Lepisosteus oculatus: one gene and its partners. The protein of the gene in region 2 interacts with the protein of the main gene of each other region in a pairwise test. Links are inferred from orthologs where the notes say so. Each region holds a gene or a part of one and is shown on either strand. Other genes may lie near its edges.

Region 1 (8,368 bases), on a different chromosome or scaffold from region 2:
GTAAACAACCTTGTTCAGCTTGTTGCAATTCACAAAATTATGGAATCGAAATCATGGGAAAAAAATGATGGAGCATAGAAATGGTTTCTCACTATTTTAAGGTTACCTTCAGCATGTTAAACATGAAAATTGTTAAAAAGCAGTGAACCTTCCATTATATATAATGCCAGCATATAATTCAAACTCACAAAGAAACACTGTTAGAACCACAATGTTAAAAGTGAGAGGTCTGCAATTTTACGGATGTGATGCTGACTACTTTATACAGTAGAATATAATCTACATTCAAAAACACTATTCAAGTTTGTTTCTAATAGACAATTTGTTCTGGAAAACCACCCGTCTTGAATTGATTTCATTTTGTTTCACTCAGTTTCCTTGTTTAGTGCGTGTCATCCAACAAAAAAGGAACTTTGTGAGCATTCTTGTGTGATCTTCAATCTCCAGAGTTTTAAGTGTCAATTTAAAGTGTTGTGAAAAGAGCATGTTTTAGGAGATTCAAAGTCAAAAACACTAAGAAAGGAAAAATATCTAGGTATGAAAGTCTGGTTTGTTTAGTCTCTTTAGATTGCCAATTTTGAACGCATAAATTAAAATACTAACCAAAAAAGTTAAAAGATTAACCACTGATAAAACTTCAGAACATCCAGAGATGTTTGCAAGTTATTGTCAGGTATATCTAATGTATGGCAAAAAAAATCCTGAACACACTATAGAATGGCTACTGATCTTAACTACTCAAAATAAAAGTAGCTTTGAACTGAAGGACAACATTAAACAAAAACATAAGAATAACACCCAAACCATAATCATGCACACCAACATGCAACAGGTACATATAGGTCTTGTTTGAGAAGTTAGAAATCAACCTTATTCAGGATGTTCTGCTACTAAAATCCAGTGTGATTTAATTCAGGACCACCCCCCTCTAATGCCTACACTACATTTTGTTGTTCCCCCTTCAATTTTTATCAAAATCAAACATCTGAAAATATCTACACATTTTGTAACAAAATACAAGTTTCCTTACCCCGCTATCCCAGGAAACAGTACTAAAAGAAGAACCGCACTATACCTGAACCTGCTGAACTGTTTTGTTTTGACCAGGTCCAGCAACTGATCTGCCTACACTCACCAAAAATGTTACACTATGCCCTGAACAAAATGATCAAGAAAGTTATGTTTATGTTCATGTATGAGTCAAATGCTCTCCTATCATTTGTAATTGCTCTTGGGGTTCTTTTTATTCATACAGCTCACTCGTATACAAGGTGGTTTTATAATATCTATGGTAAGATAGCCTGACAGTAACAATTTTGAAAGGGAAAATAGCAGAACTTAGTTGTACACACATCTTCTTTACTGCCAGAACAGGCTAAGGCTGAAATAGGTCAAAACCTGAAAGTCTTGGTGACGCCACTAATGAAGTGATATGTGTGATACAGCAACTTTTCTCAAGCAGTTCAAAAACTGACAGCTGCTTACTTCAATTTCAGATCACATTCATATTTCTGTCCTCCTGATGATCACACACCAAATGCTGCCGTGCAGATGCAAAACAGTGAGCAGCCGCCTCCTTGGAACGTGGTCAGACCGCACTGTCAGCGGTCTGCCCAATGACAACACTGCGAGCCATCATAAACTCATTGACGAGCTCTCTGTCACTTAAGCATTTTGGTGAAAAGTCGCACCTTCTCTAACCCCTCTGGGGATGAAACACCGGGCAGATCACCCAGCCTCAGAGAAGCTTGTGTGATGAAAGACCACCACGTTTCTGCACTGCGTGGTGGAAGGTGTTCTAAACGTGAAAACTGATAACTCTTCAACAGGACTGCATGTTCTTTGCGCATTGTTTTTTTTTTTACTCTAGGAAAAGGCCTAACCCATGAGGCAACCTGCGACTTGGACTGGAGCCTTACCTCCGTCTCTCTCTCTGACCCGGTGTGCGTGCACTGCTTTCGCCTTGTTGTGGCCCATGTTGTCGCCGTGCTTGTTTTCGGGACTGTCGGACCGGCGGAGCATCTTGCAGGGCGGTGTGGGGTCGGCTGAATCTCGCATCTTCTCATGACGGTGGTCACCGCCGGGGTGACTCTTTGATGGGTATTTAAGAGTCTGGAAAATGTAAAATTCAACAGTTCTTAAAGCACTACGACAGCAAAAAAAAAAGTTTGCAACCCCTGCTTTCCGTCCACACCAGGCTATGGCACTAACTTGGCTGGCGGAAATGAATGACATTGTCGTCGTCTATGACAGCTGTGAAAACACCAGAGGAAAAACCCCGATAGATAAACAATATTCCATTGACTACGTACTTATTACGGTTTTTGTTTTCGTTGGGAGGCAAACAGTAAGCCTAGTGGACACTTAAAATATGCGTGTCCTAGACGTTTAAGTTATATATGCAAGTTTTTTTCGAAGACATTGTACAACATTCGACGAAACCACCATCTCCAGCCTATAAAAGTTTCCAGTGTCCTGAATACGTCAAGTACGTTGAAATTAATTCTATATTGTTTTGAGAAGTATGACAGCACACACGGAATAAAACCCCGTCCGTGAGCAGACAGACTACCGTTTACTCACGAATAAAATGTGCTACAAACTGCCTTAGGAGTTCAACGAGGAACTTCTGATCATTTCAGCATTTCGGGTTCAAGAGGAAATCTTTCATTTTGGACGGATCATCTGCCTTCATCTTTGCCACACGGGCCTTGCACAAAACGAAAATTTCGAAGAATTCAATTTCACTGAAATTCGACGTTTAAAATCGTCGACGTCCCCTATCGATCATAAAGTACACTTATATTGCCAGCAAGACCCTTTTTTGCGCATCTTCGTGTCGAATTTCCTACTTTTCGTTTGTATTTTCCGCACCGAGGCCTGTAGGTGCTCCAAAAGCCTGCGCTAGAGTATCCCCCCCATCTTAATCTTGTTTCTGTTTCTTATACCTGATAGGGTTGGGAATCCCTTCGGTCGTTACACCTAGAAAAAAAAAAGAGAAAGAAAATCATTAAATAGCTACCAACTGGAGCACAGATGTCCGTATGCACAAAATATAAAAAGCAGAAACAGCTTCCGTAAGTTTCTACTTATTTTGGTTTACAACAAAAATGGCGGATTTGTCAAAGCGGAGAAGGAAAGGGAGGAAAAAAACTGAATAAAAAATATTCAGCTGTTTACCCATCACTGAGTCTCGGTTGTTTCCTTGCATACATTACCATCAATGCCGTGTGTGTGTGAGTGGAGTGGATGTGAAAGATAAACTAGTTATTCGCTTTGTTTTGCTTTTTTTGTTGTTTGTTTTACTCGTCCCGATCCCTGCTATTATTTCAATAGTTCTGGGTATGTGAGTTGCTTTAAGGCTGCGCTAATCGGAAGAGCGCCCTCGGTCCATCTCCCACTCGCACACAGCGGACTGAACCTCTATCTGCGAGACAGCCGAGCTCAGCCCACAGCCCCGCCTCCCCTCCCGCAACTACATCCGGGACACTCGGCGCGGCGACTCGGCTGCGCTCGGGCAGGCACTTCCGGGAGCCGAGGGCTGTGCTGACAGGAGCGCGGTGGGTGTTACCGGCTCGGCAGGCTCTTCGCGTCTTCGGACTTGAGCTGTGCTGCTGTTATCGCGCACATCTCTTCGCCTCGGAGTTTCGTGCCGACAGTCCTGCCTATGGCCTGTGTTTTCATAAACACCAATGTTGTGATTTCTTGCCCTTTTCTTTTACTTCCGGTGCAATATAACCGGCAGATGTTTTCTGCAGTGTAGCTATAAAGTAAGCATGGGCGATGTCTCTAAGTTTCAGTTCTTTGCGTTGTAAAATATTATTACCAGGTTCTGGGGGGAACTGTTTCCTTGTATTGTACGATTTCCGGCTCTAAACTACTGTATGTAGAGGAAATCCTCTTCATTTAATAAACGTATTTCATGTGTCTAAGAATAAGAGAGTCAGGATAATTAGCTCGTTAAAAACTCAGTACCTCGATTAAAATGGTACCTGCAGAAGTGACGATTTAACAAAGAATTGTAAGAAATTAAACGGTTACAATTCGCAGGTTTGCCTGCGAATATGTCCACGGGGTTGTGATTGTACAATAATAATGCTGTTAACGTTCATGGAGCACATTCTTTAGTTCAAGAAATGGTTTAATAGTGAACTTCACCTACCGCGCCATCTGGTGGACCGACACAGCATGAAGCGTGACTAGTGTGTCAGGAGAGCAAGCCTCGCTTTAACCTGCTAGGTTCCATTTTGAAACGCATGTTGTGCAGTAGGGTTTAAAAATGTGCAAATTTTAAGGACTGGCTAATGGTGTTATATTATCATGAGAAAAATGTATTTGAGAACATGCATGTCTTGACTCATCACAATCTCGAGGTCTCAGCTCCTGGGAGATGCTAAGTGCTGCCACATGCTTAAATGGGTCTGAGTAGAATCTGCCACAAAAATCTTGAAACTCCTCCAACAAGAGGAGGCCAGTCAGCCCATCAAGGTCATTTCAATGCAGGTGGGTGATTTTCCCAAGAATCCCATCTCGCCATTTCCTGATGGAAACCACGCTATCGGCTTCAAACCCGAGCCGGGGACTCGCATGGCCTTTGGAGTAGAGAAGTTTGTTCTGTTCCCAGTTGTCAAAGAACTTCCCCCTCTGGGGCGTTTCTTTCTGGATTCTTAAGAAATCGTAGCCCTTTATCCTCATCCCAGTGCCTTTGAGGCTTTTGAATACTCGAGTCGCGTCTCCCTGCAGCATCCGTTGCTCAAGACTAAAATGATTCCCTTTCTTTAACCTGTCAATGCAAGACATTCCTCTTGCCTATCCTCAGGCTGCTTCCAAAATGGAGGCTAAAGCTGTACACAATTTTCAAAATGACGGTCTTACCCAGTGCATTCTTGTCCCTCTTGCTTTTGCTGTTTGCTGAGTGAATCAAGGTTATCCTTCTAAGTCAGGAGTGGGATGTTCTATACAGGCTATACAGGTCAAGACTGAGCTCAAAGCGTGTCAAATGTTGCACGACTGTGCAGCCTGTTGGAGGATTTCCCATCTCACCGGGGGTTTCCAAATGTGGAAAGTAAATAAAAATAATCTTACATTTCACATTTGTCTGGCTATCTAAATCATATACATCATCTCCCAAAACTTTGTATTCTAGAGGGTAGTTTGACATGATTTAGGAATGCGAACACCTGCTTATCCTTTCCACAGATCTGTACTCTTGCTCCTCCTGAAATTACCGAACCGTGTCACAGAGCGTGACGTGGTGACCTCTGGCGCAGACACGAGAGACGTGAAAAAATATGCACTCCCAATAAAGACAACAAGGAAAGCCAGATCTGTTCAAACCATTAGGTGTTCTGACATAGAGTTTTGTGGGTTTCATTCTCTGAAGTCCGCTTGACCGCTGAACTAACTCTTACGTCATGGTCATGACGCAGCGTAGTGTTTTCAGGAGCAAATGCCCTTCAAACTTATTTATCGTAAGAAAATCATTTCAGCTGTCTAAGAGCTTTTCAGAATAGGAGGTCAGCTGTATGTCCTCAGTTAACCCATAGGTACTTGACAATACTGTTTGTTATTTACAAAATGAGACACCATAGGCAGGGACTGATTTCTTTTATAAGGCACTGTAACTTTGGTAGGAGCTCTGAGTAAGAAATAAATTCTAACGAAATAAAAAAGGAAATCAATGTGTGTCTTCCAGTCCCTCTGCAGTGACAGCCAGCAGCCATATCACCCTGCAACTCACAACTGGCAACCCACTGAAGCTAAGCAGGTGTGAGCCTGGTCACTACCTGGATGGGAGACCTCCTGGGAAAAAGGTTGCTGCTGGAAGAGGTGTTAGTGGGGCCAGCAGGGGGCGCTCACTCTGTAGTCCATGTGGGTCCTAATGCCCCAGTATAGTGATGGAGACACTGTACTGTAAACAGGCGCTGTCCTTCAGATGAGATGTAAAACCGAGGTCCTGACTCTCTGTGGTCATTGAAAATCCCAGGGCGTTTCTTGAAAAGAGTAGGGGTGGCATCCTGGCCAAATTTCCCTTACCAATAATAATAATAATGATTGGTAAGGGAGCCTCCTAATAATCCTCCTCTATGAATTGGCTTCATTACTCTACTCTACTCTGAAGCACTATGGCTGCAGTCACATCATCCAGGTTGATGCTATACACTGGTGGTGGAGGGGAGTCCCCATTACCTGTATAGCGCTTTGAGTGGAGTGTCCAGAAAAGTTATTATCTCATTGTCCACGCAGGTTCCCCTGCTCAGTCACAGTTTTTGGTTTTCCTTCTTTGCACATTAAGATCTCCCACAATTTTCAGCAGCTGTAAAAAGAGAATTTGTTTGAGACCTGAATACAAATCACATATAAATAGATGGTCATCTGCATAGACTGCAAAACATGCTCAAATTTGATCTGTAAAAATTATAACATCCCCTCACATCAATTCCTTAATTTAATTTCATAATTGAATCAATTCTATTATTAGAGTTGTTTAGAGGGGTTAGTCTTTAAGGCTCCAACTGACAGCTTTAGTGTTCCAGTCTTTTGGTGGCCTGCTTGCTAATATACTGAGAATTGAAACAATATTATCAATTTGTGCATGTATGGTTCTGAAAAACAATTTCTACAGATATTGGATATTGCTGAACGGTTTTTGGCACAGCTGTGATGAACTGATTGTTCATGACTGACTGTGACACACTCGAATTGTCACCTCGTTGTGGACTGGACACAGGTGATGAGGTATGTTTTGCTTTGATTTGCCGAACAAATCAAGACCTGCACAAGAAAGGGAGCAGTGACTAAGAGCCATCAGTATGTAGGAGGCTGGCGTAGAGAGCACATGGTTACTTGCTCTGTGCAGAACTCACAGAAAGCAGCTTCTAACCAAGGAATATGGTCTGTCAGTGACAGGCTGTGATCTGAAAGACCACAAGTCTCCCGTGGAAATGAGAGGTGTTATTCCTAGTGTAAAATCCTGGGTTCGGTATAGGGTTTCAGGCATTCGTGTGAAGGAAAACAGAGCTTTCACTGGCCGATTATCAAACTTTATCGATAAAAAACAAACTAGCCAACACAGCACGAGCCTGCATTCTTTCCTCAGCTGTCCACACCACACTTTTCCCTCTTTGTCAGAGATTAAATAAAACTTCACTCGCACCAAACAAATTACCACACACTGAACACTGAACATGTTAACCCAAATATGTCTCACACAGTCTCTTGATACCTTGATACTGAGTGGACAATTGCTAATGTTTTTCAGGATGAGTGTGACAGTCAATATAATAAGACTAATAGGTCTAACTTCTGTTACATGCAAGATTATGTAAACAATAAAGTAAGAAACAAACTAAAGGATCATATAGAAAGTGATGTGAAACAGAAAGTGCACCCTCTTACAATTCAATGGTTTTACATAATAAGACATTTTTGTCCTTTGTGTAGTCCTCACCAAGTCCTACCAGTAGAGAAATCGATCCTCACGTGACAGATAACACACACAAATTTTACTTTGTCATTATTTATTAACAAAAAAACAGGCAACATTCAGTAGCCTTGTGTGAAAAAGTAAGTGCACCTGTGGTTCAGTAACATGTGGAACCACCTTTAGCAGCAGTAACTTGAAGTAAATGTTCCCTGTAAAAGTTTATCAGTCTTTCACTTTGTCTGGGGAAAACCTGTGGCCCACTCCTTCATACACAACTGCTTCAGCTTGCTGATGTCTGAGGACATTCATTTATGCACAGCTCTTTTCAGGTCCCTTAATGGGGCTGTGGTCTGGTCTTGTACTTGGCCGTTCCAAAATCCTATTCAGTCATAGATTTACTGGTGTATTTTAGTTCATTGTCCTGTTGCATGATCCACTTCCGGTTATGCTTTAGCTGTTGAAGAGATGGTCTCACATTTTCACTTAGAATGCAATGGGATAGAGAGGAATTCATAGTGGACTCAATGTTTGTGAGGTGTCCAGTTCCTACGGCTACAAAGCAGGCCCAAATCAACAGCCTTCCACCACCATGCTTGACAGTAGGTATGAGATCCTTGTGGTGATACTCAGTGCTTGGTTTTCACCAAACATGTCATTTTGCATTACAGCCACACAACTCCACTTCGGTGTCAGCTGTCCAGAGGACATTGTTCCAGATGTCTTGTGGTTCATTCAGGTGCTGTTATGGAGACCTACACCTTGCAGCAATGTTCTTTTGGGAGACAAGGGGCTTTCTCCTGGCTGCTCTTCCATGAAAGCCATTCTTGTTCAGTCTTTTCCTAATGGTAGAATCATGAACTCTAACAGTTCAGTTCAGTTCAGTTTCTTGTCATATGCACAAGTGCAGTGAATTATCGTGTCATGTCATTTGCCAAATCGCTT
Region 2 (7,728 bases):
AATCAGATCCAAAAATGCGAGATTTCTGGCTACATTTGTAATACAAATGAAAATTGCTTAATGTTATATGAGATCAATGAACTTCTGGATTTATTTCGATATTAATATTATACTGTGCAGTCTCTTGAATGTTTAAAAATGTAATACTACAGCAAGCAGTAAAATTCAATTACATATTAATTACATACATTTAATAAACTGTCAAAGCAGAGCATATGCCACATTAAGTACAATATGTCACATGAACTCTATATTCAATTTATGAACTCTATAACCTCTACAGTTGTGTTCATAATATTAAATATTTAATAACGTTTCAGTCTGCAATATGCATTAGCTGTGAATGTTGCAACTGATGTCAGGCATGATCGCTTACCACAGCAGTTTTTCCCTTTAGTGCAGACTTTTTTATTATTCCCCATTTAATCACTGCATAAAATAAGTTACACTGAAGTTGCTTTATTTAAAGAAAAGATCTAATGCAATAAAAATAGTTTGGGGGTGTTCTGAATGAATAAATAAGTACTGATAACTGCAATTTATTTCTGTTAATAATGTTCCTGAACTAATGTGAAAGCTAAGGTTAATAAGACCACCTTACCTTGACATTGTCTGATTTCGTTTCTACCTCCGAATAAAGGCCTTTCATAAACCCAGTGGTCCTTATTACCTGTGAAAAACAGGATGGATACAGTTGTCCAATTATAAAATGAAGCCGGTTCCAGAATGTTAGGATTTTGGATCATTGATTATAAACCAAATGAATGAATAAATAATAAAAGAGATCAAGCTTTGAAGATCATACAGGTTATATTATTAGCGGACTGTCTTATGTAATTTGAAATGTACAATTTCAAATTTATATTACATGAGTTTACTTTCATTTGACTCCCCTAACCCTACCAAAAAAGTTTGAAAATGTCACAAACACTGAGCACGTTTGTCACCAAATGTGCACAAAATAACCAGCACATGCCACAGGTTCTCTGTTCTATGCAGACTACAGGCCTGGGACTGCCTATACAAAACATGTTGTTTAGGGAAAGGGTAAAAATTTTTCTAAAATCCAGATGATTGAGAACAAGAACAAAAATCTGGGACTGTGTTCCATGCATACATCATTTTACAGTTCTTGAAAAGTAAACTGCATTGTTCACAAGTGTGTCTAATATACGTTATATGTTATACTCTTGGCAGATCAATAATCTCCTTCTTCCCACTTAACGTATGCTGCATACAATGTCATTCCTAATTTTTTAAGTTCTTCATACAAGCTCAGCCTCCCAGGATAATCTTAGCTGGGCCTTGCTTCAATCTGCTATTTTTAAGACGAGTCATCTGGCTTTACTTCTATCACGCAACAAAGCAACTCTTTGAACAGGCTCTCTGAATCCCCTGCTCATGTAATTTTTCAATAATTAAAATATTCCGCAATTAACATCACTGATTTTGTTTCTCAAATTCAAACAATGATAGGGTCACTGTTCCACATTGTGAAACAGAGCAAAAAATAGCAAAGAGTTTCAGGAAGACATTTGTGATCATTTAACGATGAATGATGATGATTTGAAGACCTTAATGATTGGCAAGATGCTAATTATTCATAAATATGAAGACACCACAAGTCGCGTATTAACCTGTGAACATTTTAGAATTAGCCATGGTAATACAACAGTAGCACAGTTTTACCATGACGTACTACCAAAGCAGACTTAATATTATCACGACCATAAACTTGATGAACAATGATACAAAAACAGAGAGAGCAGCAAATATAGACACAGTAGCAAAAGAAATACGAAGAGACAAAATCATGGGGTAAACAGATACACAGCAAATCAAATTTAAAATAAGTGCAGTTATTCACACTGCTACAGTAATAGGATCGTATACTACATACTGTATATCATACAGGTGAACTGTCGGGAGCTACACATGAAGGGGTTTTTAATGTAGACACTTCTAAGCAATGACTTAATAAAACAAAGTTGATAAAACAATAAAAAAGCAAATTGAATCCTTGGTTTTATATTAAAAAGTGCAGAATTTAAGAAAATATCTACTTATTTTTTTTAAATGCACTACAAGGACCTCACTTTACAATTGCATTTAGTTTTTAAAGTCTTTCTAAGAATAATTCCTACAATCAGGGCTTTATTATACAATAATGTAGGGAGCAGAGATTGAGAGAAGATGCAATTATAAAATGCTGTATATAAAATGTCAAGGGTTAAGCCAGGAAATTCTTTCTCAGTATTAAAATAAGGACACAGGGAATTCATTGAGAATGGAAAACAAGAAACACTTCTTAACACAAATGTTGTTGGCTTGTGGAACAACCTTTTCAGGTTAAGGTTAAAATATTGAGCGCTTTTAAGAAACAGCTAGACATAAGAAAAGTTACAAACGATATAAGTCCTTCTGGTTCATCTAACCCATTTGCTAATTAAAGAATTAATTCATTCAAGGATTTATCTAGCCATTTCTTGAAAGATGTAAAGGGTAAAAGCATTAATCTCTGTACAGATGTTGCTCCTAATAAAATAATGCTTTGCTAGACCAAATTGTTTGAATTATCAGTAATAATTATATACTGGATTTGAGCGACACAAAGTAAAATAATCGTTTTGCTAACACCTCAGTAATATTAATTAGCGACACTGGCACAATAAAACAGCACAAATTATTTAGCTACCATTTTCATGACACAGCAGGACAGCGATTAATGTAATGTGTCCTCTGTGGGGACACATTACGGGATTAAAACCAACTGCTATGGAACAGAAAACTTTTTTTTTAAATAAAGGGTAGCGTGACGGAATCAAACACCGGGCAGAAAATGATGAGGTATATTTGTATTTTACGGTCCTGTATTTAAATAACTCATCAAGGCCTCGCATTGTTTAGTGTACTTGAGCAGAGACCAGTGCCTAGCAACCAGAAGACGCCAGTTCGATTCTACATCATTCAGACAGTTCAGGTGTTCACCGCATACCCTTTACAGCATTTACACTGAAACCGACTATTGTCCGTTTTTTAAAAAAATACAGTTATTTAGGTTACATCAGAGAACTTAACTGCATTTTTTAAATTTTCTGCAGCTGAGCCTTTACTACTCTTTATTCCTGAACAGCCTCACCCCAAACTTAGTCCCACTGAAATGCACTACTCCGAAACAAACACACACAGACCAGAGAAACTCCTCCTTGCAAACAAGCCACGGATATTTCAACAAATCCAATTTTTCCCGTTGTCAGTCATTGCAGTTCTGTTTCTCACCTCGGTGAATATATCATGCAGGTAGCGGAACGGCGGTTTACTAAGCAGTTTTTCAGTAAGAGGCGGCTTCTTAATCACTTTTCCCAAGGTATCTTGGGTCTTCTTGGTCACTGACGCGTTCATAGCAGCAGCAAAGCAAGACAAACGCCAAAACAAAAGTCCTTTAGGTGAAGACGAACCGAAAGAAACACTTCACCACATAAATTCTGCAATCACTGGGCTTTCAGTACGTCGGTATCTTCCGATCCCACAATGCATCGCTAAACCTAGCTGCGCCTGCGCAAGTGACGTATGGTTGTCAAGCGAGGCTTGCATCCTTAGCAACAAGTAACAACTGAAATGCAAAGAATTCCAAAGGCTCTTAGAATTGGATCGTTTGAGGTCCTTTTCTAAAAACCAAAATATCTGCAGGGCATTTATAGCTGAAAAATTAATTAAATGTTCATGGTTTATTTCATTCTTATTTTTAAGTTATTGCTATTGATCAATGTTTTAACACTGTTTTAATTCAATTATTACTAGAACGTTTCACTGAATTTACAGTAATGGAAAGTTAATGAACAACTAAAGCTGTTAGCACTGACAAAATCCCTGTATGAGTTTGAACTTGATCTTTATATGTTCTTGTGCCAAATAAGTTATCAAGAATTCCTGATGAGGAAAAAAAATCAACACCCCTTAATCTGAGTTATAGACATCATTTGAATTTTTACCATATGGGATAAGAGTTTTTGTTATTCATGTAGCAAAAATCCTTATATAAAATGTACTGTAGGAGATTAATAACAGAAAAGGAAATAAAACCAAGTTTGAAGTAAATAATTCTAAAGTAAAATAATTGCTCTAGCACTAACACAAAGCCATAGTTTTTTGTACCTTTATCTAAAATTAGGAAGTATAGATAAACTGTAACCTAAAGGTGTCTGTGAAGAATGAGATGGAAAATAAGGAAACCATTTTTAAAACTTGAAACTTGTTTGCATTTTTCTTTCAAAACATTTTAAAAACTAATCAATCAATCAATCAATTACCCCCATCTAATTAATGAGTTTGCATGTTTGTAAAGGAAATTTATATAGAAGAAAGCTTAAACAATATCAAGTTAAAATCTATAATCTAAAAAGTCCCATATATAATGTATAAAAATGATTGACGCATTAATTGTCCAGTATAGAATATGTATTTCAAGTTCTAATATTTTGTTCTGTATTCTTTCTTTTGTGAAAACCTTAGTATTAGTAGCTAAAAAAAGCTTTTATAGAAAAATATACTGCAACTATAACCACAATTATATAGAATTAGAATCACCTTGGTTTTTTTTCTCATTTGCTTTGTTAACCAACATTTAAAAAAACATAACTTAACAGTTCATAATTACACATTGGATATTTATCTCTCCCCATTTAACTCTAACAAAACTGTGCTTTTTACAAGAGCAATCTTTACAGATTAAACTTCTTCATGTTCTCTAGATTCCATCAATGGAAACATTACTCCAATTTCTCTACACAAAATCTTCAATAACCCCTCAAGCAATTTATGTAAACTACTTTGAAAGTAAGCAGCACATCACCATTAATGTGCTTTAATGCAGAGATCCTGCAGCCACTCCTAACTTTAAACATAAGAGTTTCTTAAGGTAGTAACAAGGATATACCCTGAAACAGGAATGTCTGGTGAACCATTTAGTTTATCTTTCACTTTTAAGATGATTAAGTGTGGAAGCTTGTTTGTTCTTCTGTACGGGGATCCAGGAAGTTAGAAATCTTCATAACTAGATTATTGCTTTTACTGATCCCATATAATTTTTAAATTCATTTTCATATGAATAAAGAATACTTAACACCTACTGTAATATCAGAAGTAAAATCTAGAATGAACGCTTTATAAAGTATTGTGGATCTCGGAAAACATCATTTTTCATTAAATAAAGTGCCTAATTCATAATAACTGTGAAGTGAGATGGCTGCATAAAAATTAACACTTTTATGTACAGGGGCTGTTTGCGCATAGGGGCAGCAAAGTGTCACCCAGGTGGGTGGTGCAGGTCAGTGATGGATGAAGTGGGCCCCTTCTCTGTGAAAAGCACTCGGGATTTCTTGGAAGGAAAAGGTCTATGCCAATTTAAGCACATGTTGTTATTATTAAGTTTAAATTGATTAGAAAATAGTTAAACCCTGTGAAAGACACAGTGATAAAAATGTTCATTCATAGCATATAGTTTATAATACTACTTAGTAAATTGTTTCAATAAAAGAACATACAGTAGGTGAATATAGTTGAATAGGTCTTTATCAGGTGTGCGTCAAGATGACTTGGTTGGACACACCCAAGGGAACAGATGAAAAGCGTGCTTACAGTTGGGGAGCTTGCTATAGCTGATGTGCACATCTCTGAGTGGTTAGGGTATACTAAGCAATTAAGGTCTTGTTGCATTCAGGGGATTATGAAACACACCGTTTTCTTCGTGAAATGTGTACTTTTTGTTCTATTTGCTGTACATTTTCTTTCTTTTTTGTTTAATGCTTTTTCTGAAAAAGATTTATGGTTTCTGAAACTGTGTACCACTAAGTAGCACTGTGTTTTGTCTAGGCGTGCTTTCAATCACATAACAGGATGGGAATATGGAAAAAATGCTGGGTTATGAAGTACTGTATATAATGATATTTTTGTTTTTAAAATAATAAATTACAAAAAAACGAATGCCAAAAGATCACTAGCTTGTTAACACAAGGACGTCAGGAATAAAAAAAAGTGAGAAATAGAAATAGTGGAATCAGTTAATAAACAGAAGCACGTTGATTGCTTTTTCTCTCTCTTTCATGCCAAAATTGAATAAAAGTGAAATGATTTAATAAAAAGTTAATCAATAACATACCTTAAAACCAGGTATTGATTTTTAAAAAATCTTAGCTACAAAAGGACAATAATTCCATAAAAAAAGTAAAACATATACTACAGAGTGAGTCTCATCTTGTACTTTGGTGCTGTACCAAGATGTACTTTAATACAGGTCTTCAAGCATAAAATTCAGAAGTATTGTTATTGTGGTTCATGAAAATTTCTAGTATCTTGTTTGTGTCATCATATTTTGCTTCTTAAATGTAGATGAATAATGAGAAAAAAACATTGAATAAATTATTGTTTTTAATAAAAAAGTAAGTCACTAAATACATTGATAGTTAGATCTTTCTCATTAATTTTCCTGAATACCTGAATGCCAAAGATGTAATTTAATTTCAGCGTTCAAAACTAGGTTCAAAACATAGATTCATTCCCTGTGGTTTCCTACAACCACAGGTAGGTTTAAAATGAGTGGTACTTAAAAAATTTAATTTAGATTAAAAGATTGAATCATTTCTGTTAAAAAAATACAGAACAGTAAAAATATATTATGAAGAAGCCTTTCTCCACCTATGATTAAAATCAATGGGATTAAAATTGGGTTTAAAGGTGCAGTATAAGCATTTATGTACTGTAAGTACTTCCCTACCCTGAGGCGTGTTTGAATAGTGTGTTTCAAAGATAAGGATATCCTGGTTTGTTATGCCTGACGTTCAAGCTTTGCTACACCTGTTAGATGAGTTAGATGACTATAAAAAGAAGGCTTGTGAGGTAAGAATTCAACGAACATTCACTCACATTTCAAGACAGCAACAGGTAAGAACGAAACTTGGCTCTTTCGTACTGTATCTAGGTGATTGAAAAAGTTCAATCTTTGAAACAGATTTATCTGCTTGGTAAATATTCTTGTAGAATACTTAAAAGCAGTATTACTCATCTCTAGTCAACCAGGATTATCATAGAATTGGTTTTACAAATATATTTGACTAATTGTCAGCATTAGATATAGCAAAAAAATAAATAAATAAGTGATTAATAATAATAATTGAGTAAAGAAGGGAATTATTAAATTGAAGAAGAGTTAAACTTAATAAATAACAGCTCTTTGTAATCCCCACAAACTGGAGACAAGTGTTCTAAATCAAGCTAGTCCACATGAGATAAAGAAACCATCACTAATTCAGAATTTTGCTGTGACATTCCCCCAGGAAAGTAATTCTATATTTGCTATACAGTAGCTGTCAAAACGTCAGTATAGAAAAATATAAACCAACCCTATTGGAAACCAAAACAGAAACAAATAGATGGAAAACATTAGAGGGTGGACAGATCTGATGTAAAGGGGAAACATGCAACTTAAGGACATTTTTTACTTTTCTCAAATACTGTTGTGTCATTCTATTATATGAGATCAATTATAACAAAACGAAAACTAAAGTATTACATTTGTAAAACGCTCACACTTTGTGCTAGAAATACAGTAGGAAGAGATTCTCTCTTAAAACAATTGTGTTGAATCTCCTCCTAGAACAGGTTAGTCCTGAAACAGGAATGCTAAAAGACAAGATTGTGGAAGTGCAAGCAGTATTACATGGGACTGATATT
Region 3 (8,645 bases), on a different chromosome or scaffold from region 2:
CACATTTTTTCATAAAATCCCAAACTAAATAAAAATAAAATAATTAAAACTTTAGATCAGAGAACATATTTACGATTATTGTGTAAAGTTTGTTTCAGACTGTGCTGAAAACATCAGTGGTATTCTTTGACACGAGGGAGTGAATACAGGGTGTGCACTTGGAGGGAACAGAACTATTGTTTCATAAGAAACACACATTTATGCCTTAAATCATTGGACATTCATGGATCCTGTTTTTGATTTTGCATTGAGCCCTAATGGATGGCTTAGTGGATAAAACAGTTTTAATGAGACCAGAAACCCATACGTGTATATTCCACAGAAATGATTCTGTAAACAAAGAAGATGATGTAATGTTACAACTGCATCCTGACACACCAAAGCTTGATTTAGAATATATATCAGGGGATTTTGCAGTAATGGAAGCATAGGCAGGGATTGAATTTAAGGTGGATCAATGAAATGAAGGACAATGGACATGAAAACATTTATTGATCTTTCATATTTCCATATATGCTTTTTAAGAATTTGTATCATAAGTAGTTGAGTTTTAGGCTCCTTTTACAGTATCTCTATAATAGCATCAACATTCCCCTTTTTATCATTATATAAAAATGATGATGCCACAGAACTACAAATACACAACTTTAGTACAAACCATTAAAAAAATCTGATCTGTTGTATTACAGGACATGTAATTACAGTACATGTAATTTACTGACTGAAAAAGATTGGTTAGACAAAATGAAATGGTGAGGCTTCTATTTGCCTTAGAGGAAAGACAGACATACTGAAGGAACCTTTAATACAATAGTATTATATATCAAATTTATTTAACAACAATAGGCATCTGTAGACTATGATTGAAGTTCTCTTCAAAACAATTCTAGCAAAAATGTTTCAATGCCTTTTGATAGACTCATTTTAATTTTAAAATATTTCCTCTATTTTCTTTACGAAGGAAATTCTTTGTGATTTTTAAATCAAAAGCACATCCCCCCATAATGTCTTCAGAATAGTGCTATACACATAAGGCATTATTGGAAGCATAACTGAGTTGGTTTTGTTGCTTCCTTTAAATCGAAAGACAATGACTAGTAGAGAAATTAGCACTAGGTGAATGAAAATATGCCCGTGGATCAACTGCTTTCCAGAATACTGACAGCAGATGTACAGTAACGGAACCTCAATTCTTCCTGAGGCAAAATTATAGATTAGAGTATTAAGTGTTCTAAATAAATTGTTGATCGCCGATTTAATCTGTATTGATGGTTTAGTCGATGTAAGGAGTCAAAAAGTAAGTGGACGACGACGGGTGTCTTACAAAATGACGTCGTACAAGGTAATGGCAAATTTAATACAGCACAACACGCAATTTGAAGAAAGTTACACAAAAAATGGAATGGGAACTATAGTGTTTAATCCACCTCGATCCATTTTAGAGATTCCGCTATTGCGTGTTTTGATTACTCACTAAGGAAGTACATATTTGTTATTTTTGAACGGTTCACATTTTATTTGTAAATTGGTGCAATCGGAATCTGTTAAAAAAGAGTTATCTGATTAAGTGAATCTTAAGCATAAAACATTACGAAAGTGAAATATCTGTGAAATACACTGATAAATGGAATCCACAGCTTCTAAAAAACATTTGCAGCAGCGGAAAATGTTCACTAAATTTCCCTAGGGAAGTGTGCAGATTTCTTGATAGATTATTGAGATAGTGTGCAATATGAAATACAAAAAAAGCATACAATTAACTCAAAATGGAATATATGATGAAAAAGAAGGGCGGCGTCTTTAAATCCTGCAAGCTGAACCCCTGTGGTTTAATGTGCCCTTGCTCAGCCTCTCTTATAACGCAATCAATCTTTACGAGTACTGTAGGTGCCCTTTCTGTGCCCTTCTTACAACTACAGCGCGGGTCTATGGTGCGCTGCAGACTGAAACTGCAGCACACCGCGGTGCAAGCAAGCTACGAGAAAGCTGAAATAATAGATGACTGAACAAAAACTCTTGGAAATCTTACTAAATCTCAGTGTTCGCTCGAATTGATGTATATGGATTCCCTTTCCATTGATTAAAGAGGACTACGATGGGGAAAAAAAAATATTTTGTTAAATCCTCCAGCACATTGCATTAAAGTTACTGTGAAACGGGTCGTGCAAAAGAACAAAAAAAAGTTTAAAATGTTTTTCTCTTCCATTATTACACATGCGCCGTTATAATTTAATTCAATCGTGCATTTTTGTGAGTGGAAGGCGGCATGCAAATATTCAATTTATACTTATTACAATTAGCTAATGCCTGACTTACTCCTGTGCTTCGGTCCAAGCTTCCCCCTGGCGCTGCCGTTAGCTTGGTGGTATTGAGCCCAACCAGGGATGGCAGGGTCTGCGACATCCAGTTGGTGATCATTGCCATGGTGCTGAGCACAACCCCAATTTTGAGTAAAGGCACCGACATCGCTGCTTTGTACGTCTCACAAAAACCTTCATTCTAAACATTCCAGCGAAAAACATTGTTGGCAATCCATCCTGCCTGTAAACGCTTGGTGCAACACCCGTGTGCCTGGCGTGGAGGTTCTTGCCTTGGACATCGTTGATCAATGATGCGAAGGAGGTTTTTCTGTCTTTTCGAAGAGCAGCACTAGTGCTCTGTTATTGAGGTAACACTGAGATGCTGTTCTGCACCACCGCTACTGATTAAACAGAAATATAGCTGAGTATCTTCCTTCGCTCCTTTCCCTGCACTGGTCTAAAAGCTCTCACGCTAGCCCTTTCTTTTCAATTAAACCCTTGATCCGCCCCTGTCTAATACGCTGTTGAGAAAGTGTGAAAGTGACTACAGGCTGTTCGAAATGGATAAGGGGGAGGAGGTAAGGAGGATCTATGTAACGGAGCGCAATGTGATGTCAGGTTTGGTTTGCTTATGAGACGCCCTCCTGTTGCCACTGGGGAGCTGCTGCCTGTGCTTTTAAATTGGATTTTATTGCCTTGGATCCCTCTCCTGTGAATTACAAAGAGCACGCATGCCCACGTTGTAGTGCTTTGTTGGTTTCTAGATGCTAAGCGTTGAATTACTCCAAGTGAAAACCACATTTCATCCACTTGAAAATTGAACTGTTCATTTCAATAGCATAACCTATTCCAAATTCACCTATATTTTCACAGTCTCTACTGTTGCAGTAAAGTACGTTTAAACGCTAAAATATTTTCTTCACGAACTTAATTAAACACTAAACTCGAGTCATAAAGATTTGACGGAATCTCTGTTACGTTCTATTTATGTATCAATCACGTCTTTAAAATGAGAAAATGCGTTACAGATTATTTTCCTTTGTACTTACAAAATTCACAACCTTCAAATCTGCTTCCGGTATTTTGGAAGTGCCCAATTATTTTAATGTATGGAATTGCTGTGGCGACAGGTAATAAATTACTACCTTAATACCGAACCTTTGTGATCTGTTTCTCTGCTTCGCTGCGGTAGAGGACTTCTTATTATGCAATAGTTTGTAGACATTTGAAATGGAAGGATTCCGTCGCCCCCTTGTAGCAAACTGAGGTTATTGCAGAAGTATTCTCTGACTCATTGACTGTTGTCTGTCCCATATCATAACATGAACTGTACTTGAAACAAAACAATTCAGGTTGATGGTCTGCATTCTTTAAACTTCGTGTATTTAAATTGATTTTGATCTGCATTAAAGTTTTGTTCTTGCTTTGTATTCTTGTAAGGAAAAATGCTCTTTACAAAATTTGTTGTAGGTACGTGTCGTGTATGTGTATTTCAGCATATGTATCTTTGCTGTTACTGTGCAACACTTTAACAAAAAAGAACATATCTACATATATAGAGTTTTTGTTTATAGACTAATGAAATAATTAATATTCAAAGAGTTCGGGTTATTTGTTTGGTTTAATGCCTATTCAAATTATTCAATGCAAGCCGGCCAAACCGAAGTCACTCTTATTTCCATCGTATCGACCTCATGCTCGAGCACAATGTAAATAAAAATGTAATATAAATTAAACATTATGAACACTGTTTAATGTTATTGTATATCTACTTACACAAAACCACCAAAAGAATATTTCTAAAACGAGGATGGTGACGTTGGCCACCAGGAATTCGAAAAAAGTAATATCCCAGTTACAGTAAAGATCTAGATCTCCTGACACTGTAGGTGTCATTATTCAACAATATCAACGATATAAATGCATTATACGTTTCTTTTGGCAAAAATGTAAAAATGGACATTCGCATTGTTCAACATACCTCTTTGTGGTCAATTTTATTATATTTAACCAAACTCATGTATCCTGGCATTTCGTAATCCAATGATTTGCGTTAGGTATAACATATTCTGCTAATTTTTTTATATCATACACTTTATGGAACCAGGGCTCCATAATCCTAGGCTCCACATTGTAGCATAGAAAGTAAAGATAATATCTGAGATATTACTGGGTACTGGTGCCTTTAATAAAAGAAAAATTAGTACAGTACATACACCAGGCTGTATCCAGCAGAAACTAAAAAAGTAGGTCACATTATATTATCTATTTATGTACAATTATTTCTTTTATCCCTTAGGCATCTAATAGCATATCATTTGATTGTTATTTCTCTACCAATACATTTTTATTCTTAACACAAAAGTTCCTTTTTTATGAGAAAGTAAAAATCATACAAGTAATCCTGCATTTATCATGGGCCAATAATATATCACTAAGCTTCAAGTATTTTTTATGTTCTTGTAGATTAAATGAAAATCAAGCCCTGTAACAGAATTGGGACATTCTGAGGAGTCCCTGAAAAGTAATGTTTAATAAAATTCTCAGAACTAAAATTTCCAGTAAAACTAACATTGTATTAGTTTTCTTACATAGTGTTTAACACCCCTATGTGGTTTTAGGGTCTCTACTGTTCTGTAGACAGTTTTCATATTTTTTAGATTGAGCTATACATTCAGGATTATGACTTTTTGTCCTGCTCAGATATCTAGTTATAGTCTAGTTTTTGAATGTCTAGTATAGATAGATCTAATATAGTCTAGTTCTTGAATGGATATGACCTTCCAATGCCATGGAGCAGTTGATACTCTATATGTTCAATAATTCTCAAAATTAGAACATATTAAATAAATGGAAAACACCCTGGTCCTGTAAGTAAGATGGAGGAGACACCCTGACTTGAACGCAGTCCTTAAGTTCAATAATGACTGAACACTTTTGCTGGTTAGTTTAAACAGGAAAGAAAAGTCTTGAATTACATTAAAACATTGTGCACACTCCTCAATGATTAAGATTATTTGTTTGCATTTCTTGAAGGAATTCTACAATTTCAATAAGAAGCTGAAAGGCAGAACAATCATATTGATTATGGGGCTTAACAACAACATCAACAACAACAACAACAACAACAACAACAACAAAAGTGACATTGCATCCCACTTCGGAATTTGCGTTTCCCTTTATAAACACACATATAAACAATAAATAAATAGTCTTTATGTGTACATTATTATAAAATGGCTTTTTCCAGAAAATGAGAAGGCTACACCCATCATTAGAAAGCCTCCTAACCTTGTGAAGACTGTTGTTACCATGAATCTCTCCAAGAAGCATAGACTGATTGAGCGCAAACATCCACTCTCTCCTTAAATGGAATGTGTCTATTAAAGGGTATTGGAGAAAAGAACAATGCAAAGTAGCCATTCAGAAGAAACCTGCACATCACTGGGAGATGAGAAGAAACCAGAGCACTTGGAGAAAATGTACACAAACTCCAGACAAGACTACATGACGAAGGAAAAAGTAGAGCTGTAGAACAGGATTAGGTGTATTGTTTGTCCTGTTAGTATATAATATTTGTGGTTTTCATTATAACCTACCTCTTTTTATTCTTATCTGTATTATAAGGAATGGGAGAAAAATGTGACAAACCTTTGATAAGTAGCACAAGTTTTGTAAATATTAAATCACTGCAGCAATTCAACAGTACCTCCAATTAAAGAGTCATTTTGAGTCTTCATAACTGCTCTGCAACAAAACTAAATCTATGTTTCCCAAATCCCTGTAATCAGAGGGCAGCCAGGATTTCATCAGCCTTGATTTCAAATGACAGTAGCCAAAGCCTTTAAGTGCTCTTGCTTTCAGATGCACCTTAATAAAATCCTTGTGCTGCCAAAAACATCAAATGACCCATGACTATTATTTATTATTTTTTCAAATGCAGACTGATTTTGCTTTAAATGAAATGTAATGTAATTTGCACATCAAAGTAAAATGATTTGATAAATAGCTACCTGTCTGCATTTGATTAATGACAGAGCATGGGGTGTTAAATTTTTAAACACCTCCCCTCAGGTCCCATTGAAACAAACAGCACAAAGCCCGGAGAATTACAATTAACTGTCTTTGTTATGAAACTGATACCAAATAAACTTAATTCATATTTATATATTTATTTCTTTGCAGTACAAAAATAAAAACATAGAATTTACCCTCGAGGTACATAATTGTTTGTGATGATGGGAGGTATTTTAAAAGTGGACCTGTAAAAAAATAAGTTAATTGTAGGGAGCATGTCATACTGTATATGAAAGTGATGATAAAATACTTGAGATTCTGTACATTATTTAACCTCTTTTTGTTACTTACAGAATAACAGTGTTAATGACTTTGAGACAAGGGATTTAAACTTCACTGAAATTTCTGGTATGTCTACATACCTGTGGTTTTCTACCAAGTATGATGATATTAATATCTGGGATAGAAATCATCTATTTATTCTGACAACAATCTACTTATTAGAGATAATTTGTTTTCAGTGATTTCAGACAATTCTCTTGCGTAAAGAGATGACACAAATGAATGAGAATTGCTATTGAAGACTGTAAGAAACAGTATTAGGTACTGTATCGCATACGGCCACCATTGCAGGTTGTTCTAGCCGGCTTACCAGCGCGGTGATGTCACTGCTCTTCCCTGTGAATAGCAGGGACTGCAGCCGTCGGGCTGACGGGAGATTTCCCTTTAGCTCAAGTGGCTGGGTCCCTGTTGAGTGATGCTGGAGGCCCAGGTTCGAGTCCCCGACGGTGGGGGGACCGACCTGAGGCGGCAGCGGCGAGGGGGCATACCCCCGTGAACCCCAGATTGTTACAGTACCTTTATGGAAATCCATCAGGATTTCAGACTAAGTAATTAATTTGAAAGAAATGGCATCATTGCACCACTGAAAGGTTTTTACATCTTTTTAAATATATTGAGTATTTTAAGAGTAACACTAATATGAACTAATTGTGTATTCAGTACCACGTAATGAACATATACTGTACATATTCATGTTCATGAAACAGTTTTTTGGCCTTCCCCTAAAAAGAGTGGCTCGTTAATTCTGATATAAAAAACACAAAGAGCTTAAGTTTCATTATAAGCAGTGAGTATAATGTAGTTACTATTAAGATACCAAATACTGGGTGCCAGCACTTCAGATTCTGACAGATTTAATTGTAATGTGAATCAGCAGTAAATCTGTCAGAATCTGACAGTCTCAAAGCCTCCAAATAACAATATTTTTAGCAGAGGAGAAAAGAAGATTTCAAAATACTCTGGGGCTTTTAAAATGTATTTCTTCAGCGAAACAATGGTGTCAAAGAAAACTGTAAATTCATTTTTTCCTGTGAAGATTTATTTTACAACAGTACAGCAAAAAATACTTTATTTTTCACTTCAATTAATATTAATTAATATTAACTCTAATTATGATGCAGTACTGTTTCCATCAATGTTTGGAAAATCAGCTTTCACAATTTGCTGTTTTAAGTAGGTCAGCTAAATGAAACGTTTCAAACAAGAAAAAATGGGTGGCTGTAAAAAATTACAAATTCCACATATTACTCCTATTATTTTCAACTGTCCTTTAATGAGGAGGTCTAAGATTGATCCCTCCTTTTAAATCCTTAACTTTAATGTGGTCTACTGGGAGAAGAAAGTCATGTCTCAGCCTTACTTCTGCATTGAATTCTTTTAATTATTTTTTTTTTTTTTTTACTTTGACAGTTGTTTTGAAACAATGTTCAATAAATTAATGATTTTGTAAAAATATAAACCATATAATCTAGGGCAACAATTTGCTATAGGTGTCCAGTAATATACTGTACATGTAAAGAAATGTACAGTTCTAATTTGACTTACACTCTCATGTTTTTTTAAACATCTCTAAACTCATCTATTTGAATATTTTGATACCAATATAGTCTATTAAAAACATGCTATACTATTTATTTTGACTTTTGAGTTAATATCTAAAAACACAAACCCTGGTCAACAAAGTACTTTAAGCAGTAAAGTTATGTTGTAAGAATTAAACTTAAGTAGACTGTGAAGCAGGCTAGGAATTAATTAAGAATAAATAGATTTTTTTTAAAGATGATGATGATACTTATTTGCAACCAAACATCTAATCCATTGTGTAATTTGTCTACTATACATACAAACATACAGTAAATCAGTTCTGTTAGTTACAGTATACAGTATATGCTTAATATTGCTGCTTTCAGTTTACACATTGTAATTGAGATTAAGTCAAATAATGCATGCCTTTCTCAGGGGTTACAGGGGTTACAGTGACTAAAT
Region 4 (7,746 bases), on a different chromosome or scaffold from region 2:
ACTACAAACATTATGTGCCTTCAATTCAGCATTTGACCATGTTGTTCTTCAGTCTGCCAGATTTCAGCCTCAAAATCACAAACTGTAAACAGAAGCTACAATTGCCCTTTGTTGTGTTCTCCTTCAGACATCTGCTCGGAGTGTTTGCACACGGGACACATTAAACATACTTTGGAATTTTGCTTTGGGATATTGGAAGAGGCCAGCACAGTGGCACAAGTGGTTAGCATTGGTGTCTTGCAGTGCTGGGACCCTTGTTCAGTTCCAGACCTGACGTGGTATGTGTGTGGAATTTGTATGTTCTCCCTGTGCTCACAAGGGTTTCCATCAGGTCCTCCAGTTTCCTCACACAGTCCAAAGCCATATTAATAGGTTAACTTTCTTATGGAAAAACTGGTCCTGATGTAAGAGTGTGTATGTGTACCCTGCAATAGTCTGGCATCACGTCTAGGGTGTAAAAATGGATTTGATGGATATTGGAGAATTAAGAAAAAACTGAGTTGTATTACAATGTCACCACTTCTTATATACAGTTTAATATTTAATGGGAATGGTAAGCTTATTTAAAACTTGTAGCCAGTTTTAAAGGTAACCAGTACTGCTTTTTACTCGTTTTTATGTCTGTAGAAAACAGTAGAATGCTAATTAGGAGAATGTTGAGGAAGAAGATAAGTGTATTCTAGAGGGAATTAAAAACCTGGATGTATATCCATTTTTAAAAAAGGAAAATGACTGGGCAGTAATGAATATCTGCAGATTATGAAGGGAATTTGGATTTGTGTTAGAGGATATGTATGTAAAGCATGTCTCTTGGGCTCGGGTGCAGACAAGTGTTCAATGCCAGACAACATATTTTTGAGATAGCTGAGCCAATGCTATAAAGCCTGTGAACTACACAGTCTGTGCCAACAACTGAGAGCTGGAAGTTACATTAAACAGCCTAATAAAGGAAACTGGTCTGTTAAAATATGCTTGAAGCCTTGGATTTTCCCTGTCTCAGAGACTGAAGCCCTGACCCTTCCCTTGATTAGGTCTCTACCCATACTGAGGATAATTTCTGCTTCCTCTCTTTGTGAGTACACACCCTACAGTAAAACACTTGCACTTGAAAACAATCCACGAGAAACATCCTTTAATTACACAGGTCTTGCCATATAGAAATAACAGTTGTTGAGATCTATGACTTAGACGGCTGAGTTATTTTTTTAAATATCTACAGTACTTCAAGATATTTTGTAATTTACATTCCTAATGAATTTATTATTAAAGCTATTCGTATGAATTCATATGTTTTTTTTTTGGAGTTAGTAAAGATATTTTACTCTAAATAGATAACTCCAAATTAACACTTTACATTGTTTTGCCTCACTGTAACAGGTCTACATACATAACCAGGACAGCTCTTCATGAATCATATACTCACATAATACACTTCACTGAAGAAGTAATAATCTATTACTGTTGCATGTAAAGGAGGGACATCTCTACAAGTTGTATGTTTTTTTAATTTTTGGTGAAAGTCAAGGCAAAAAACATCTAAAAAATAATAACCTCCAAATCAGAGCGTTTGTCTTTTCCCATTGTGAAATCTGGGACTTCATTTCTGAGACTTCATTTCTTTCCCTCTCCACTTTGCCTGCTTCACAAATGCAATAATCACGCACCGAGAGACTGGAATCAGATTGTTCGGCGCATACAAATCAGCCACTGTCTCGTGAGTCTTGGCTGTCAGACTTCATGATGAAAACACAGGCAGGTCTTATTACTTCACATGGAGCTCTCGCGGACATAGTTATGGACAGTGATAGCAAATCAGAATGTAATGACGATAACTAATCTCTGCAAATTAAAGAGTCAATAGACCTGTCTGCTACCTGCTTCTGACCCTGTTGAACTAAGACAACTAGTGGCATCTTCTCCAGCTACTCTATGTACCATCTACGACACCACAACTGAGATGGATAGTGTTAATTATTCAATGGTATATTATCTTCATCTGCACACACAAGGCAAACCACTTTGAAAGTTCTCCCAGTACAAAACACAACTTAAGCTTGCATGCAAAATTCCCTATATTCAATTCTACATTTGTGAACCTTAAAAACCACATAAATATGTATTTGTTTCTTTCCATTGTGACTGGGTTTCAGAGTTAAGGGGGTAGCTTTCTGTATGGATATTTGATTGAAAATGACTTTGATGAAAACAGCAGTCTGAAAGAATAAAACAGTCCACTTGTCTGAGTATGAATAATATTACATTTTACAGAGGTATTTTTTTTAAATGGAATTTAAATACCATTTTGGTTTTCGGTGACCTTTCATTGGCCATTTCTATTAAGTTTAGAAATCAGTGAGCCATGCAGGACACCTGAACAGGCAGAAATAAAGATGTCTTTATTAAAAACAGTAGTCTTTTGTTATACGATGTACTTGGACATGCTGCAGTGAAGAAGTCTGTTGAAATAGTCATGGCAACATTGCAAGACATGTTCATATTCTGAACTAGCACAGGAAATAATCTTAGCCAAACCATAACTTTTTTTCATTAATATATTACACTGAAGAAGGAAGTTAACCATTTATCAGTCTTTTGGGAAGAATTGTGGTTAAGAGCCAGGAAACCTAAATGCTTTAATATCTAACTCCAAATGAAAAACATCCTCATAATTTAAAAACTTTGAACATCTGTTCCAGAATGAGAGTCCACTATTTGAAGTCTCACCTCACATCACATTAGCTCTTATTCTAATTTATTGCTAAAATGTTTGAATGCCTGTTGAGATATTTTGTGCCCACCTGGTACACTGTTCTTGAAACACATCTTGACCGGAACATCAGATGCAAGGCCCGTAGGTTCATAATCCGCCACCTTCTGAAAGCTTGAGAAGTCAAATTCCATAGGAGGCCATCTCTATTAAAGAAGATCTCTTCAAAGCCAATTAACACAGCCTCCATTGCAACTTGATAGTCAAGGTATTGTTGACAGCCAGGTAACTTTCACAGGTACAGCATATCTTACACTTGATGCTTTTCAGAAAAGTTCCCTTTAAAAACACACAGGGACCTGGTAAAATTCAGAGCAACCCCAAGTAACCTCTCTCCCACGCAGCTGAAACATGTGCCTCCTGAGTTTTCCTCTATTCCATCTGCAGAAAGACAAATTTGGAATAACACGCAAAAAGTACTAAAATATCCACAAAGGAATATTCTGAGCCAATAGAAACTTTTTGGAGTGTTTATTTTGTGCTGAATAGTATAATCCCTCTGAGATAAATCTTCAGATAAATGTGAAATCCATCTGGGAGTAGGCGAGGTACAGTAGTGTCTTCTGCCTCTGAAGATAATCAGATGTCCTCACGCACAATGCCGCAGCTACGTGATACACTATCTCCCCTTCCTGACTTTCTAAAAGGCAACAGAGGAACAAACTTAGCATCTTGTGGGGGTTTACTAGTCTCTGCTGGGAGCTTGTCCAGAGTCTTAAAAAAAGCCCTTTGCCTCAGTGCCAACATTCCCAGGACATTCTGTTTTTCTGTTTAACCCTGTCAACCCCACAAATACAGAAGGTTACCCACTCGAAAAAAAGATGGCCATTTAGAGCAAAAAAAATCCAGAAGGTTATCTGGGTAAGCTGACAGGCAGTCAAGTTTTAGGGAGGCTTGTGAGCTGTTAAAGAAAACACTCCTCTGTAGCCTGTTTCAGAAGTTGCAAGTCACATTAACTGCTGAAGGGTTAACAGCTAAAAAGACTTCCAAGAATTCCTAAATGAGGCATCCAATCTGTATGTTCACATTCTTGTGATCGAACAGCTGAAAATATGTAGGATTGCCATCATGCCAACAGCTAACGCCATAGAGTCTTTTGACAGAGGCCTGAGTCAGTAGCATTTTACATGAAGACACTATAATTTCGATGGCAAATGACAATATTTTCTATCGCAACTAAAATATGTCAGCAATTTTGCACTTACTACATAACTGAAGTATTAAACTGTTCTGTAATTTTAAAAAAGCAGACATACTTACAAATAACTTGTACATATTACATTGACCTATATGAAAACTATAACATGTAACTCCTGGTCAAATTTCCTATCAGAATGACTGCTCCCAGGTCCCTCGCAATAAATTATGTTTTCCCAATTCCATCTTAATTGTCCCTTTCCTGATGTCTGCCTGAGAACATTTAAGGCTGCATACCAACTAATCTGCGGGAAATAACTGCTTTTAGTTCTTAATTGGTCCTGCTAGCATTGTATCATGCTCAGCAGTTTGTAATACAAATGAGGAATGTTTGTCCTTAACTATTACTACTAAACGTCCTTGAAAACATGCACAACTAAAAGCACACAAAGTCAAAGTGCATTCTTAATGTATGCAGACTTTTAAAATGACTATCTCCAGCCCTGTGTTTCTGGTCTGAAATCACTCATGCAGGGCACATCTCAAATTATTCTAGCTACATACGTTTTCCATACTCCAATTGGGAAGCTGATATTTGTTTGTTGTTAATGATAGCACTTGAATTAGGCATTATAAGCTTGTTATTTTGTCAAACTACAAAAAATTGACACATTTTAACATACTTTAAACTTTAACATACTTGAGGTGCTTGTTTTATGAACCTCAATCAAAAAAGCCTTAGATAATCAGAGTATATTTCTGAACAAGGGGTGTTCATCACTTGCCAGTTTAATTATCAGAAATACTCTGTATTTTTCTGCACTTCTGCAGAAAACAAAACCCAAAATCAATACAAAGTAAGATCAATGTACTTAAGCACATGCATTGCTGATTAAATGCATCTTTACAAGTGGCAGATTTATTGTGGGTATTGATGTGGGGCCACCTATAAGGACTTTTAGGCATCAAACTCAGCTTTAACCTTGTGCTTGAACACTGTATCTTTGGAAAAATGCAAAAATAACCTTCGACCACTAACTGCTTGTAACTGTAAACACCCTATTAAAAAATGTTTGTACTAGCATTATGATGGGAAGTAGTTGGAGCTGGGAATTTAAAAGTTATTTTCTTTTTTCTTTTTACTTTTCAGTGTGGAATTGAACTCTACTTGTTCTTTTACAACTTTCAGACTGAAACAGCTCCCCACTTATACCATGTCTCCAGATTCTCTTTGCTCTGCTTAATTGCTTAATTTCCATGATCATGTAATAACAGTCATCAAATGATTAATATTGTTCCATTAGGTCTATTAATTATTTTGCAACTGGCTCAACAGGATTATATTTTATTTTTTGTCGTTCCTCTGAGTTGTAGCCAAAGTAAGATGGTATTTTGCCACTGCTACAATTTCAAAATCAACCTCCTCACACACCCCAGTTCCAATTATACAACAGCACATGTACTGTACACACCCAAGCTGGCTATTTCCAGATCGTGCACAATAGTTACACATAATCATAGATATACAATAAGAAAGACCTACCTGTGATTTTAAAATTGGGTTAATTTATTTTCTAAAGCACAGACAAAACTACCTGCTTTGGAGTGGTCAAAGTGCTAATTTTCTCAAACAAGTTAGTTTTTTTTTAGTAAAAATCAGATCAATTAGCAAGAAAATCTACCAAAAATTGTCAAAATATGTTATAACCTTTCCTATGTTTTCTTAAAACATCTTGCATTGCACTTTCCCACAGAAAATGGAGTTACAACACTATTATTATTATTATTATTATTATTATGTTATTATTATTAACTATGATGAGATTATATATTCATTACTTCTTCATTTTTGCTCTACTTTTGTTCACATGAGGTTATCATAAGAAAGATTAGAAGCAAAAATATAATTGCAGGTAATCAAGGTATTTTAGGGTGCAATACAGTTTTTCTGAATTATATTCTTTGCGAGTAGTGGCTGTACATTATTAACATTTGCAGAAATGCTACTGCTGCCGAGTGTCTTTTAGGGAACGTGCAAATATTTGGTATTTAAAGATGTTCCCAGGGCTCTGTGTATATAAGTTCCTCATAGAACCCTGGGAAAGTTCATGGAATTCAGTGACCTGGTGTGAAAGTTTTCCAGTGCAGAAGTCTAGTTTTTTATTTTAACAACCTCTGAAAGGAATGAATTATTTAAAAAGAATGATAAAAAAAATGAATACAATCTAATTAAATCATAAATTAAATTGTCATTAATTTAATCATATATTTAAATATGATATAATGAGCACACTCCATTCTGTGTTTCTCTATTTCAACTGCAAAACCTAGTTGAAATTTAAGTTAAAAATAATGAAAAATACATTTTTTTGTTCAACTGATACAGACATCATGTGTATATTTATGATTGGCAAAGCCTTTAGGCACCTGAAGACAATTCATTCTATTAATTTTAAAAGTTCCTTGTGAAAGAGCCGGATGGCTTCACATAAATAAATCCCTATTGCAAAAGCAGTGGTGTACATACAGCTATTGAAAAAGAAAAGCCTCCGTAAATAAAGCTTTGAATCTTAAACTAAAATCCACCAAATAATGTTACATAAGTGTACAGTATATATGGTCAAATTAGGAAGTGTTTTCATCTTGAGACACTGTATAGTAGTTTCTCACACTAGTTATACAGGGTTTTAGAATTATAGCCAAGTGTCAGTTCCCACAGTTAAATCTCACTGAGAGAGATATACTGTACAAAACAGTCTATGGTTTCACCAATATTAGGCAGAGTACAACTTGTATCATCTGGCAGCACCTAACAACTCCCAGAACCCTATAGCACTCCTCTGTCTCTTTGCTTTCCTGTAGAAACCACTGAGAGTGGATTTTGCACATTTATTTTCAGCAGGAATGGTGTTTGGAAATAGTATCTCAAAATGCAATATCTTAAAAAAATTGCATTTGAACTTCTAATAATTATAAAGATGTATATATTGAATGCAAATAAAAAAACCTAGAGTTCTGGCAACAGATTGTCAGTAGCACAGACAGATTACAGAATATAGAAGACCAAAGACCTGTTTCTTCCTCTGTACAGGACAAATTAAGAGCAGAGATATGAGGGAGAGGTGAGATGGGGCAAGTGAGTGTCAGAATAGGTGAGAATGGATAAGGATGGGTAAAAGAGGCATAATTAAAAGGAAATGTGAGAATGTGAGATTGATTGCAGTGGGAGGTACAAAAGCCAGCAATCTGTAAATGAACTGTGAAAATGAAAATTAGAATAGTTAATAGCTGAGGGCTGGTGGCTTGTGTGTACCAAGAGTAATAATTATTTTGGCTTCTGATATATTTCTAGCACATGAGTCTCTGGATACCTGTGAAAGAACACAGACTGAGAGGTCAGCGTTATTGTAATTGGGAGAGGCATAATGGTGGACTATCACTGTGGAGAGGTCTTTGAACTTCATTGCTCTGACCTGTACAGTTCTGTATATGGCTGAAACTTCAAGACACATTACTAACTCTTCTGCATGTTAGCCCCTTTCACAAGATCCATCCATCTACTGCCAAAAGGAGTTTGTGTTCATAACTTCTCTGTTTATTCAAAATGGAAATTTGATTCTGAGGCCAACAATATTATTGTTGAACACCCACAGGCATTTCGAGACCCAGAATTCCAACACATTTGGATTCTCAATCATGTCTCCCTGTAACTGCTCAACAACACTTCTATTCATATTTATTGTGAAATGCTACTGTATTTCCTCATAGGTTAAAAATAGTAATGCTTGTTGATTTATAAATAAAAGACACTAAACCGCAATCACAATTGTAAGATTTCAGGA

What was found.
Region 1: the proteins of traf3ip1 (region 2) and waca interact in a two-hybrid assay, tested with the Homo sapiens proteins (2 studies listed by BioGRID and IntAct). The link is inferred for Lepisosteus oculatus from reciprocal best matches to the Homo sapiens genes TRAF3IP1 and WAC.
Region 3: the proteins of traf3ip1 (region 2) and olfm1b interact in a two-hybrid assay, tested with the Homo sapiens proteins (2 studies listed by BioGRID and IntAct). The link is inferred for Lepisosteus oculatus from reciprocal best matches to the Homo sapiens genes TRAF3IP1 and OLFM1.
Region 4: the proteins of traf3ip1 (region 2) and frmd4a interact in a two-hybrid assay, tested with the Homo sapiens proteins (2 studies listed by BioGRID and IntAct). The link is inferred for Lepisosteus oculatus from reciprocal best matches to the Homo sapiens genes TRAF3IP1 and FRMD4A.

What each region holds. Positions count from the first base shown.
Region 1 is NC_090701.1:40,362,195-40,370,562, forward strand, and holds the start of waca (WW domain-containing adapter protein with coiled-coil), read right to left. Parts: upstream 3,469-8,368; 5' UTR 3,222-3,468; coding exon 3,181-3,221; intron 2,983-3,180; coding exon 2,949-2,982; intron 2,113-2,948; coding exon 1,920-2,112; intron 1-1,919.
Region 2 is NC_090707.1:21,567,418-21,575,145, reverse strand, and holds the start of traf3ip1 (TRAF3-interacting protein 1), read right to left. Parts: upstream 3,536-7,728; 5' UTR 3,403-3,535; coding exon 3,280-3,402; intron 671-3,279; coding exon 602-670; intron 1-601.
Region 3 is NC_090719.1:6,022,526-6,031,170, forward strand, and holds the start of olfm1b (olfactomedin 1b), read right to left. Parts: upstream 3,633-8,645; 5' UTR 2,467-3,632; coding exon 2,317-2,466; intron 1-2,316. UniProt on the Homo sapiens protein: Contributes to the regulation of axonal growth in the embryonic and adult central nervous system by inhibiting interactions between RTN4R and LINGO1. Inhibits RTN4R-mediated axon growth cone collapse.
Region 4 is NC_090702.1:14,365,534-14,373,279, forward strand, and holds the start of frmd4a (FERM domain-containing protein 4A), read right to left. Parts: upstream 3,396-7,746; 5' UTR 2,958-3,395; coding exon 2,799-2,957; intron 1-2,798. UniProt on the Homo sapiens protein: Scaffolding protein that regulates epithelial cell polarity by connecting ARF6 activation with the PAR3 complex. Plays a redundant role with FRMD4B in epithelial polarization. May regulate MAPT secretion by activating ARF6-signaling.